Xenopus tropicalis: one gene and its partners. The main gene of each other region encodes a partner of the protein of the gene in region 2 in a complex. Links are inferred from orthologs where the notes say so. Each region holds a gene or a part of one and is shown on either strand. Other genes may lie near its edges.

What was found. Proteins that work in one complex are often made in the same cells at the same time.
Region 1: cnot11 (region 2) and cnot8 share a complex: the UniProt entries of both Homo sapiens proteins name them as parts of the CCR4-NOT complex. The link is inferred for Xenopus tropicalis from reciprocal best matches to the Homo sapiens genes CNOT11 and CNOT8.
Region 3: cnot11 (region 2) and cnot7 share a complex: the UniProt entries of both Homo sapiens proteins name them as parts of the CCR4-NOT complex. The link is inferred for Xenopus tropicalis from reciprocal best matches to the Homo sapiens genes CNOT11 and CNOT7.

The regions. Positions count from the first base shown.
Region 1 is NC_030679.2:19,855,449-19,859,716, reverse strand, and holds the start of cnot8 (CCR4-NOT transcription complex subunit 8), read right to left. Parts: upstream 2,801-4,268; 5' UTR 2,717-2,800; intron 2,574-2,716; exon of another isoform or gene 2,550-2,573; intron 973-2,549; 5' UTR 885-972; coding exon 768-884; intron 1-767. UniProt on the Homo sapiens protein: Has 3'-5' poly(A) exoribonuclease activity for synthetic poly(A) RNA substrate. Its function seems to be partially redundant with that of CNOT7.
Region 2 is NC_030678.2:110,384,930-110,388,429, reverse strand, and holds part of cnot11 (CCR4-NOT transcription complex subunit 11), read right to left. Parts: coding exon 3,362-3,500; intron 3,254-3,361; coding exon 3,051-3,253; intron 1,117-3,050; coding exon 1,020-1,116; intron 1-1,019. UniProt on the Homo sapiens protein: Component of the CCR4-NOT complex which is one of the major cellular mRNA deadenylases and is linked to various cellular processes including bulk mRNA degradation, miRNA-mediated repression, translational repression during translational initiation and general transcription regulation.
Region 3 is NC_030677.2:42,300,004-42,304,289, reverse strand, and holds the start of cnot7 (CCR4-NOT transcription complex subunit 7), read left to right. Parts: upstream 1-1,486; 5' UTR 1,487-1,629; intron 1,630-1,636; exon of another isoform or gene 1,637-2,315; intron 2,316-3,118; 5' UTR 3,119-3,221; coding exon 3,222-3,338; intron 3,339-4,286. UniProt on the Homo sapiens protein: Has 3'-5' poly(A) exoribonuclease activity for synthetic poly(A) RNA substrate. Its function seems to be partially redundant with that of CNOT8.

The sequences.
Region 1 (4,268 bases), on a different chromosome or scaffold from region 2:
TAAGCTTACAAATGTACCCAAGTTCAATATAAATCCAATAAATAGGGCTCTAAATACATTGTGGCACATTGACCTTTACACTCGATCCTACCTACTAAGATCTTCAGAGCAGCTGTGGAAAGGGGTAGTTACCACCTGTACCAGTTAAACTCCTGTATAGAGAACAAACTCCTTCTCTTAGCATATTACATAGGCAGCATTGTGGGATAGGGTGGGGTTAAATTATACATATGTTGTTATTTTCCTTTATATCTCTATAACTCTCTTGATTATATTTTTGTATTAAAGGAATGTGCACAATGCATTTTTGACACAAGCCCTACTTATACTTAAAACAGACTTAAGGCTTATGATCACAGACACTACTTGTGCACAAAAAAGAGTGAAGGTCCACATACACGGCCCGACTGTAGGCCATGTAGGGGCAGAAACAACGGTCGGGCAGGTTAAAAGATTTAGTCGGACCGGGGACCGCCATTATAATTCAATCATTTGGCCCCAGGGATCAAATTAGCCTACATGTTCCCCGATATCTCCCCCCCCGTAGGTGGGGATATCAGGTGAAGATCCGCTTGCTTGGCGACATCGCCAAGCGAGCAAATCTTCACGTGTATGGGCACCTTTAGTCAGAGTCAACCAGCAATCCTGATGAATCCCAATAGGCCTGTCAAAAGCCAAAACCCTATACATCTCAATTGCAACTGGGATAAGGGGGTAATATAATAATATACCCACGCAGACAAAGTGTCAGTTTAATGTAGACTTACCATTGCTATGTAGCCATAAGTGCGAACAAGCTCTCTAATTTTATGCATCTCCTCCTCCAAGTTGACAGCCCACACCTCACATATCACTTGGCTATTATCTACCACTGCTGCAGGCATCTTGAATTCAGAAAGGTGGCCAGTGAGATGTGTGGTACAGACAGAAAATCAAGCAGTGTTTTCCCCAGACAGAGGTGATGTCTCTTACCTAAAAATTTTAAAATATATACTTTAAGGTTAACTTGCAGAAACCCAAACATATTAAGAATTTGCAATCAAAAGACATATTAAACAATTATAGGTAAGGGAAAGGCAACACTGGGAAACACTACCCTGTTAGCCTTGCGGATGGTGAATACAGGGAAATGTTCTCCTGCCACCATTTGCCTTGCCTTGTATATTAGTATTCTAACACCTGGCAGTATTTATAGTAATACAGTTCATGAAACTGCTACACCACTATAAGTATATTACATATCCATCAGGTGAGTTAGCTGCCTGGGCACATAGATTATTCATCCCATTTGGTCCATTTTTCAACTTCACAATGGTTAGGGTGTGTGGAGTTAATGCAATAAAATATTTAGTTTAATCAGTCAGTTGGCCAAAGCAGAACTCCAGCATCTTTTAAGTAGTAATTTGGCTGATCAGCCACAATTAGGACATCCTTGTTTAACCCCTTTAGATCAGCAACAGAAAAAAGCCTCAGTCGTTTAGATCGCAGATTACTACAATTCACTAAGAAGCTCAAAACTTGGTTGTAGGGGGGCTGCAGTCCAGAACATTTTTTACAATAGAGAAATGCCGGACTGGTGTAAAAAGTAACCTATTGTATTCACTGGGTGTGACTAGCTAATTGGTCCCCACTGACTTTTACCTTACCTTTGGTTCTAATACACAACTTGGGACATTTTTGTTGCAGTGGTTAGCACTTTTGTCTTGCAGCCCTGAGGTCCTTGGTTCATTTATGGACACAGCACTGCCTTATGCTTACAGTGGTTTCCTTCCACACCGCAATAAAACTACAGGCAGGTTAATTGGCCCCTAATGAAAACCGTTGTATGTGAATGTGAAAGTACCCTGGGGCAGGGAATGATGTATAATCTCACTGCAGAAGATGGTGTATAATGAATATTGTACCCCCTATTGTAAAATATAAGGATATTATAAGTCACTGAGAAATGTAATTATATTAAAGCATGAGGTCGAAGGCCAAGTCCTTTTATACAGGCCATTTTACTCTGGGATGACCTCTAATATCCTTCTTTTTTACAACAGAAGTATTTAATTATAAGACACAAGTTTTGGCAACCATGTGGCAGAAATTAAATTGCCAAGCAGCATTTATAAGGATATCATTTACAGGATATGTATGGCTCCCATGTAACAGTACACAAGAGCCATTTTTTTCCTTCACACTATATATTAAACATATATTAACATTGGCTTTGTCATTTAATAATACAGTATTTCTTAAATTCATTGTACATTTATCTACCCCCCTTCCCTTGTGGTAAGATTTCCCTGTTAACAATATAGGAAATGATGCACCTACTGTTGCAAAATATAAGTATATTAGAAGCCAAGGAGGAGTTATATGCCAATTGCTCCTTTATATGTCTATGGAACTTTACTGTGACTCCTAATATCCTTATATCTTACAACCTAGTATAAACTATTCTGACTAAGACACAAGTTTCAGTAAGTCATTCCACAAATTAAAGAACTAAGCACAGATTATAAGTAATGACATTATTAAACGCGGTTTATAAGGATGTTGCCTACAGGCTACCGATGGCTAGCGTATATTAGAAATAAATCTTAAATGTCCATCCTGCAGGTCTCCAGCACATTGGCTGGAAACGGTTTGAGAGACGCTTGCCGGGTACTGTTCGTAGCAGATGCATTTAAAAAACAAAACTCCCCTTAGCCGGCTTTCTGATCAATCTCACCTCCCGGGCTCCGACCCGAAGCAGAGGGCAGCACGAACGTATATCTCCTACTTGTGCGTACTCTACGGTAACGTTCAATGGCTGACTCGGCGGGCGCTCTAGCCACTGCTCTCTATGGTCAGGATCGAAAAGCCAATCAAAAACGCGTTCCGAACCCAGGAAGTCGAGCAAGCGAGGTAGGCCCGGAGCATGCGCAGTTGAAAGGAAACTGAATGACTCTAATGGGCATGCGTGAAGGCTATGCCGCAGCACTGGATTTGCAGAATTCGTGAGGCATTACTATGAACTATGTATTCAAATGCCATTTGTGTTATTGGATTGTGTTGAAGGGGAGGATATTTATATTCTAGAAAAAAGTTGCACATAAGCTCAAAAAGTAAATAAGACGAAAGTGGAAGTAGTTTCAATCATTTTTATTGGGATTTTTTAAACATTATAGCCAAATAAAGGCATTAAAATATTTTCAAACATTAATATTTACATTATGCAGAAAAATAATCTGCAGTACAAATAATAACAGCCGTTGAAAACTTATACATTCAGTATTGGTCAACATATGATAAAATATGATATAATATAATTTAAAATTGTTGGTTAAGAAATTTGTTATGTACACGTATATTTATACCCGTATACTAATCACGCATTGAAAACGTGCAAAACGCGTATAAACTGACACTACTGAGATCCTAGGGGTGAAAGTGGAAGTAAAGCAATTAATAATGCAATTACCTTCACAATTTCCTTTCTAGTAGCCTGGTATGTAGTAATAACTCTAACTGTAGTAACCAAACTTAGTTTTAAAGTATGAATTTGAATATAATATTTGAGAGTAGAATCTCAAAATTATAAATATTGCATTATCATGATATTGCTTCAAACCCTTATTTCCATATAGAAGCACAAGGAAAATGTAAAAATTCTATACATTTACATTACATTGCATTCTGAATCCAGATGCAAAAATGAAGATTTTGAAGTCCCACAGGCTCCACGTTATAAACCCTCCTCATATGGGTGAAGACACACAGAGCTACTAGTAGCAGCTACTTGTCGTGGCTACTAAAATAGACAGTGCTGATCATTTACTGATAACTGTCTCTACGTGTGTTTTAGCAGAGGCAATTCTCAGTATTGTCTATGGCAGGGGATTTTCGGGTTTAGTAGTGCAAAAAAGAAGCTGCTACTAGTAGCTCAGTGTGTCTTCACCCTAAAAAGCATAACTCTCAACTCCCCCAATTTTGTTGGAATTTACCTTTTACCCCTGGGTTTTACAGGTTCTCTGGCAAATTATGTGCAAACAGTCAGCATTTAGCAACTTTAAAAGAGCACTCGTGCATGTGCAGCAACGTTACAGAGAGCGTTACAAAATGTCCCCCCTGGCCGCAGCTAGGGCCTGGTTAAAGTTGCTGCCTTTTCAATATGATAAGTCCAGATGGGGATGATTGTCTGAACACAGCGTCATTTTTTTCTGAGTCCTGTCTGAATTTTCAAATTCAAATAACCAGACAGGCAGCAATCCTAGGTCAGGTTGACGTAGCTGACAAGTAGA
Region 2 (3,500 bases):
ATGACCAATTCCCTTTACAAAGGACTCATTTTTAATTCTCTGCAAATAAACTGTTTGCCTCTTTTTTTATAAGTTTTAGTAGCTATGCAAAACTACTGGAGCACCTGGCATACAGGGCAATTCATACTTTAACTAACACATAAGACCTTTAGTCATAATGCAAAGAAAAGCAGGATGTGATTAATGTTTTAACGTTAAGTGTCTAAACAAAAGTACAATACAGAAAATACGGATCAATAAATATATATATATGAACAAAAAAATCACTGCCAGTAGCCTTTAGTGACATTTGACACAAACAGCTGTTGTTTTGGCTGGTTTAGAATAACTAATCCTAGGAGATTAAACAATATCTAAAGGTTCTTTTGAACTGCCCTATCAATTCAAGCCTCTATTAAAACGTACAGGAATCTTGTAAAATTTGATATGTGAGCCCCTATTTCTTTACATTTGGGGGCATTTTTATTAACAGAGACAAACCAGCCAATTAGACAGTCACCTACAAGTTAGAAAACAACAGAAAAGATCTGATTGGTTTCTATGGGCAACATCACAGGCCCTATTGCTATTTTTTTCTTTTGACTATGCCAGGAAGTACACCATTAAAAATCTATCACAAAAACGGGGAAAACAATAGAATTTATTAGGAATGTCCCGAATCATGTGCTGCACCCCCCAATTGGAGCCCACTCATGGTGCATGCAGGGGCAAATTGATGTGGTTAATGAAAGAGTGTCCCAGATTACATCATAAAAATCAGGCTAGTAAATATATCCATAGCTGGATATCTCCATTTTCCATTTATTATGAGAGTTTTAATCTAATCGCTTTTTAATGGAGAGGATGACATCCCTTGCAGCAAAACCATTCCCAGTACTCACCCCTGAGCTATGCCTGCTGGGACTTTTCAAAGCGCTAGTCACCATTAAAAAAGCACTAAACTGTCTTTCCATCTTCTGGATAAGAAATCAAATAGCCTTTAACTGAATGGATAGTATCATGTTTTGCATGTTTCTTACCTGCATATACTTGTCCTTAATCTGCTCACATGTGGATATACAATTTGAAATGTAAAGGTGAATGAACTCAGGAGGAAGATCCACTGCTGTTGTAAGTCTTAAAAGAAGAAAAACAGTTTATAAAAAACAAAACAGATTAAGGAACAAGACCATATAGATGATAGGCTGCTTCCCTACTATTTAACTCATGGGTTTCTCCGCAGGTCTCCCTACTCATCGTAGAGTACTGTATTGTGTGCCACCTCAAGGTAGAAAGTACAAGAAAAAGGAGATTGGCCGCACTAGAAGCTCAAGTTCTGGGTACACTAAAGCTAAACAGCGTTGGGATACACAACAATAATAGCAACAAAATACATTTCAATCTTAAATTGCACTGTAAAAAAATTTAAGCAATGACAACATGATTTAGATATTAAATATTTATACTTCATTAAGGTATTTACATTTTTACATATACACTGAACCATACTGTTATACAGCAGCAGCATGCACTTTATACTTGGTATTTAACTTTGTCCATGAACTCTAACCAGCATACATTTAAGGGGCCCTGGTAAATGTTTTTATTTGATTGTATTTACACAAAACTTTACTTTCAATTTATGGCACCCATGCACATTCTTTGTTTTACTAAACACAGCTAAAAAGGCTGGTTTGAATAAAATGTATACACAAAGTAGAGTGTAAAAGCAGATATAATGCAAAAGAAAAACCACCCAACAAGCTTACGGCACTTAATTCTGTGGTGCACATTTAGGTTATAAAGTATCAGAACTAGGCCTATGAGATCAGGAAAAGCAATCCTGTCTAACGCTGGGCATACACGCACCGATAATATTGTACGAAACCTCGTTTCGTACGATATTCGGTGCATGTATGGCAACTCAACAAGGCAACCGATATTGCAAAAAAGCTGCAGATATTGGACGACTTGCCGATCAGGTGGGTTAAAAGATTTTGTGCCCGAGCAAAATCTATGTTCAGGGCTGGAGGTAGAAATCCTATTGTTTCTACCTCCATATCTGACGATTCAGCGCTGAACGTCAGTGGAGGGTTGGATCGAAAATCGCCACGTGTGAGGCCAGCTTAAGAATTGAGGTGAAAGCATTAAGACAAAACGAAACACAGCAGGAGTAAAATATATAGAAAGCAACACACCTTTGATATCATAAATTGGTGTGGAATCCCATGCTCAATGTGCATTAGTTAATGAATTTATAATGAACCAAGCAACAAAAGAAAAAATTAATTCAGAGTTGCAGGTCAGTATATTTGTCAGCAGATGTAAATGAACATGAATGACTTCTTAGGGCTCTGGCACACGGGGAGATTAGTCGCCCGCGACAAATCTCCCGTGTCTTGGGCGACTAACCTCCCCGAAATGCCATCCCACCGGCGAAAATGTAAATCGCCGGTGGGATGGTATACACGGCGGCGCAATTTCACTGAAATTGCACATGTTTCCTCTCGAAGCAACTTGCGCCGCTGCGTATGCCATCCCACTGGCGATTTACATTTTCGCCAGTGGGATGGCAATCCGGGGAGATTAGTTGCCCGTGAACAGGGAGTTTTGTTGCGGGCGACTAATCTCCCCGTGTGCCAGAGCCCTTAATGGTTCAGTGAGTGGCAGATTTAACAGAGGCTGACAAAGTCTCATACTTATTAACAATCTTGGTTATTTACCTTTCTTAATCATCTCTGCTAATAAAATAATTTAGCTTTAAGCAGGTACATTTCATTCTATTCTTTGAACCAAAAAAAGTGTACATATATGGGAAATCTTACTTTATAAAAATGGTTTTGCATCTTTTAAGAAAATGCTTTAAAAAGTACTGTATTGTGAAAAAAATATATTTTATGCCCCCTTCTGGTGATAAGAAGCAGGTGTTTTTGTGTCCAGCCTCTAAAAAATCTGCCCCCTCGGTTTATTGGTTTTTTTTGCAGATTTCCTTGGAGGCTTACTATATTCAATTCACCATGTTCTGTGCCTGCAAAATATTTTATTAGAAAAAGAAATAAACAAAGACTCACCTATTTACAACTTCCATTGAATGTAAAGACATATCCATGTTGACAAGCACAGAGAAATATTCTGTTATTTGACTTGATTGCATTAACTTGAGCAGCATTTCAATAGCAACCAACGGATTATTTTCTACCAAATCTGGGAGCTTGGCAGGAGTGAGGCCAATGTGGTAAACTAACTTAGGGTCTTTTTCTAATTCTCCAAGAAGCTAGCAAAAGGAATATAAGAAGAAAAAAAAACTGGTTAATCGTAATCTTAGTTTAACTCATCTGGTGTATATTATCATGGTAATACTGTGTACTTTATTACTCTTTACCTGAGTTTGCTGAGGAGAGGAAAGTGGGCTTTTGAATGCTTTAGCCATAATCCGCTTAATTTCCACTCCAGTGCTGTTCTTTACACACATGGATCGGTCCCATTTAATGGCATGATCTGGTTCTATAAGATTGAGCCAG
Region 3 (4,286 bases), on a different chromosome or scaffold from region 2:
TCATAAGTGTACCTTATTAACCTTCCCCTTAGTTCATAAGTGTACCTTATTAACCTTCCCCTTAGTTCATAAGTGTACCTTATTAACCTTCCCCCCCACTTCATAAGTGTACCTTATTAACATTCCCCCCCACTTCATAAGTGTACCTTTTTAACATTCCCCCCACTTCATAAGTGTACCTTATTAACATTCCCCCCACTTCACAAGTGTACCTTATTAACCTTCCCCTTACTTCATAAGTGTACCTTATTATCATTCCCCCCCACTTCATAAGTGTACCTTATTAACATTCCCCCCCACTTCATAAGTGTACCTTATTAACATTCCCCCCCCACTTCATAAGTGTACCTTATTAACATTCCCCCCCCACTTCATAAGTGTACCTTATTAACATTCCCCCCACTTCATAAGTGTACCTTATTAACCTTCCCCCCCCACTTCATAAGTGTACCTTATTAACCTTCCCCCCCACTTCATAAGTGTACCTTATTAACCTTCCCCCCCACTTCATAAGTGTACCTTATTAACATTCCCCCCACTTCATAAGTGTACCTTATTAACATTCCCCCCCACTTCATAAGTGTACCTTATTAACATTCCCCCCCACTTCATAAGTGTACCTTATTAACATTCCCCCCCCACTTCATAAGTGTACCTTATTAACATTCCCCCCCCACTTCATAAGTGTACCTTATTAACCTTCCCCCCCCACTTCATAAGTGTACCTTATTAACCTTCCCCCCCACTTCATAAGTGTACCTTATTAACCTTCCCCCCCCACTTCATAAGTGTACCTTATTAACCTTCCCCTTACTTCATAAGTGTACCTTATTAACATTCCCCCCCACTTCATAAGTGTACCTTATTAACATTCCCCCCACTTCATAAGTGTACCTTATTAACATTCCCCCCACTTCATAAGTGTACCTTATTAACATTCCCCCCCACTTCATAAGTGTACCTTATTAACATTCCCCCCCACTTCATAAGTGTACCTTATTAACCTTCCCCCCCCACTTCATAAGTGTACCTTATTAACATTCCCCCCCACTTCATAAGTGTACCTTATTAACATTCCCCCCCACTTCATAAGTGTACCTTATTAACACCCCCCCAATTTCTAAGTGTACCTTATTAACCTTCAACCCTCACTCAGATAACATTAAATAAAACCGCAAGATACAGTCGGCTGTCACTTCCTCTTACACCCCCAGTTGTCCCTTGCCGTGCTACACAACATGTATGTAACCTTCCCTACGCACCATGATATCTGAGAGAAGCCATACACGCAGTTGTCACATACCTGCACACACATACTAGATAGACAGTTGTGTGTTTATCCCATCAAGCACAATCCCAGTTGCCACTTACTTTCACTCTCCATGGGTCGCGCCGTATGACGCACAGCCTGTGACATCATGTCACCTACCAGCTTGAGAAGGGGATGGTTTTCCACGCCTTTGTGGCGGCTTGACGTCATCCAAGTGCGTCCGGGAGGAGGTTAGCAGGAACCTGCCGTGGGACTGGCGCGTCGCTCGCATGACGTGTAGGGGCCTCGGTAATCTCCTGTGCGAGCCCTGGGAGCGCGGTCGTGAAGTGACAGACCGGCAGCGGCCAGACTTATCTTAGGTAGGGCAGGGATAGTGTCGGGCTGTGAGCCTTACAGAACGGATACGGAGCAGTGGGATGGCACACACACACACACTGGGCACAACCAGAGGCGGCTGTATTGTCTGTCACAAGCATCAGTAGGCATTGGTGCTTAGCGCACATACCGTGACTATGGGCCAGTATCCAGTCGGGGAGCCTCCAGCTCGTTCAATCACAAGGGACGCAGAAGGGATACTTGCACCTGAACAGCTTTTATTGGCAGCTGTGTGGCGAACCCCTAGCTCGTAAACTACATTACCCAGCATCCTTCATCAGCCAAAGGATACGCTTCAGCAACAAGTGCAGCTGGACATCTTCCTGTCTACCCCGCAAGACAGTTCAGGGAGACCTGCTTCTCCCCATTCATTTCTGGCTTTTATTAAAGGGGCAGTATACCCCCTTGTTCATTATGATTGCAATGAATAGAACTTGTGCTGATCATACTTTTTGTCTGTTTTAATCAGGAAACATTTATTGTTTTTGATGTTTTCTGTGCTAAACAGTCAACTGAAGCTCATGCATGTTTTGTGAGGCAGATCATTATCAGTGCACAAAGGAAATCCTGCCAACCTGTAAGCCAAACTAGACATAACAAAGGGTGATGGGATGAGGGTTGTTTATACAGAGCTCAGTATATCTAGATAAACTAACTCATCTAATTAATGGTAAGAGAGTAAGCATAGGAGAAAACAAATGCTTCATTTCTGATTTATTATAATGTTATCACTAAGAAATATGCAATTTTTTCAGTTGATATGTTCAATGATATGCTGTATTATTTGCATATGTTCTATTTATTTTGCTAATGTTGTATATTGGCATATACTGCCCCTTTAACACATGATCTGCATAAAACATGGTCTGCATCCAGGGTGGCACCTAGAGATTCTTATGTATAGAACTCTGGTATGGTCACTTTCCAAGAGTTGTAATAATACTGCTAGCCTACATTATTACTACCCAGTTGAAGCCTAACAGTACCAGCTGTGTTCATTATCTCTGCTTAGTGATGGGCCAGAAAGCTCAGATTGCTGGGCCTTGCTGTATAGAGCACTAAGGCAAAATAGAATTATGCTACTCCCTAAAGAAGCCACAGTGTTGACTTAAAAGATGGCTTTACAACTATTACCATGGGTAGAGAGAAGAAATATTCTATTTATACACTTTTGTGCTTCAACCACAACTTCCCCTAACTCATATTAACAATGGATCACCATATATGGGCAAAATACAAAAATCAATTTTTGGGTAATGTCATGGACCAAACACACTCCATAGTCAGAGGATCCCCATTCCTAATATAAAATGTATTGCACAAAGTGCATATTGTTCAAAAGGTGGTGGCATGCACATGGGCCACCTTTCCCCTTTCTTGGCATTTCCTGATATGTTCTGCCTGCTAGTATTATACCGGTATATTATTTTTTATTTGTTAGTAAAATAAAAACTATTCTTCTTTTAATTTTAGATTTAGCAGCTGATTTCGGCCTCGGCCTACCACCTATGAAACCCTTTAATAGCTAATTGCAAAATTTTGATGCCTGCCTCTGAGTCAGTCCCCCAGACCCACTATGCCAGCTGCAACAGTGGACCTCAGCCAGCGAATTTGCGAAGTCTGGGCTTGCAACCTGGATGATCAAATGAAGAGAATCCGCCAAGTTATACGCAAGTATAATTATGTTGCAATGGTATGTTTAGGATGTTTGTTTCCCCTCCAAAAATGTTTTTCATTTTTGAAATTGGCATTAAGAGTTCAGGAATATTTAAGATTTTATAGATTTTTGAGTCTCCTCAAAGGGGAACCTATTTACTGTTTATAAGCAATCCTTGCTTGCAGTATCTGCCACACTGCTTCCGCTGTCAGGGTAATATTATATCAACTATAGACTCTAATGGCCCAATGTTTCGTGTGACATAACAATAATAGAATAATTAATTTACTTTAATATGCAATATAAGTACTTGTTTACATTAAAATATTAATATTTTTTTTGTCCAGTACAATGGGTTCGGTTTATATTGCAGTTATAATTTTTCTAGTGTGTAGAAACAAGTCAGGCTGCTTACTGCACTTATTTGTTAAAGATATTTCTAAGTAGAACTAAAGCCTAAAAAAAAAGAATATGGCTAGAAATGCTGTATTTTCTATTCTAAGCTAATTGTAGCAGCTTTATGATAGTAAAGATCCATGGGCTCAACTGCTAAAGGTGTATGGTGGCCATGGTCTGGTAAGGTGCCTGCCATTGGGTAGGCTAGGTAGCAACTAAAACTCTTAGAATAGTGGCACACGGTGCTGTTTCAGGGACTTTGATTAACATATTTTTAAAGGAGAACTTTACTTCCGGATGGCACTCTTTGCCTAGACCCCCCCCCCACCTCTCCCATATCGCATTGTTTTCAAGTTTACACTCTGTCCCTATTGCTGACTGCTAGCTAAAAATGCAGACAAGCGCAACCGCGTACCTCGCCAACATCTTACCGACTGAAGACTCTTTGGGTCTCACAGCCGACACCTAACCTGCTTGAGAATGCGCAGTTGAAGCAGATTTCCTGCTACCTACAACTACTCATGCGCAAGCAGGTTCGTATCGGCGGTGAGACCCAAAGTGTCTTCAGTTGGTAAGAAAATGTCGGCC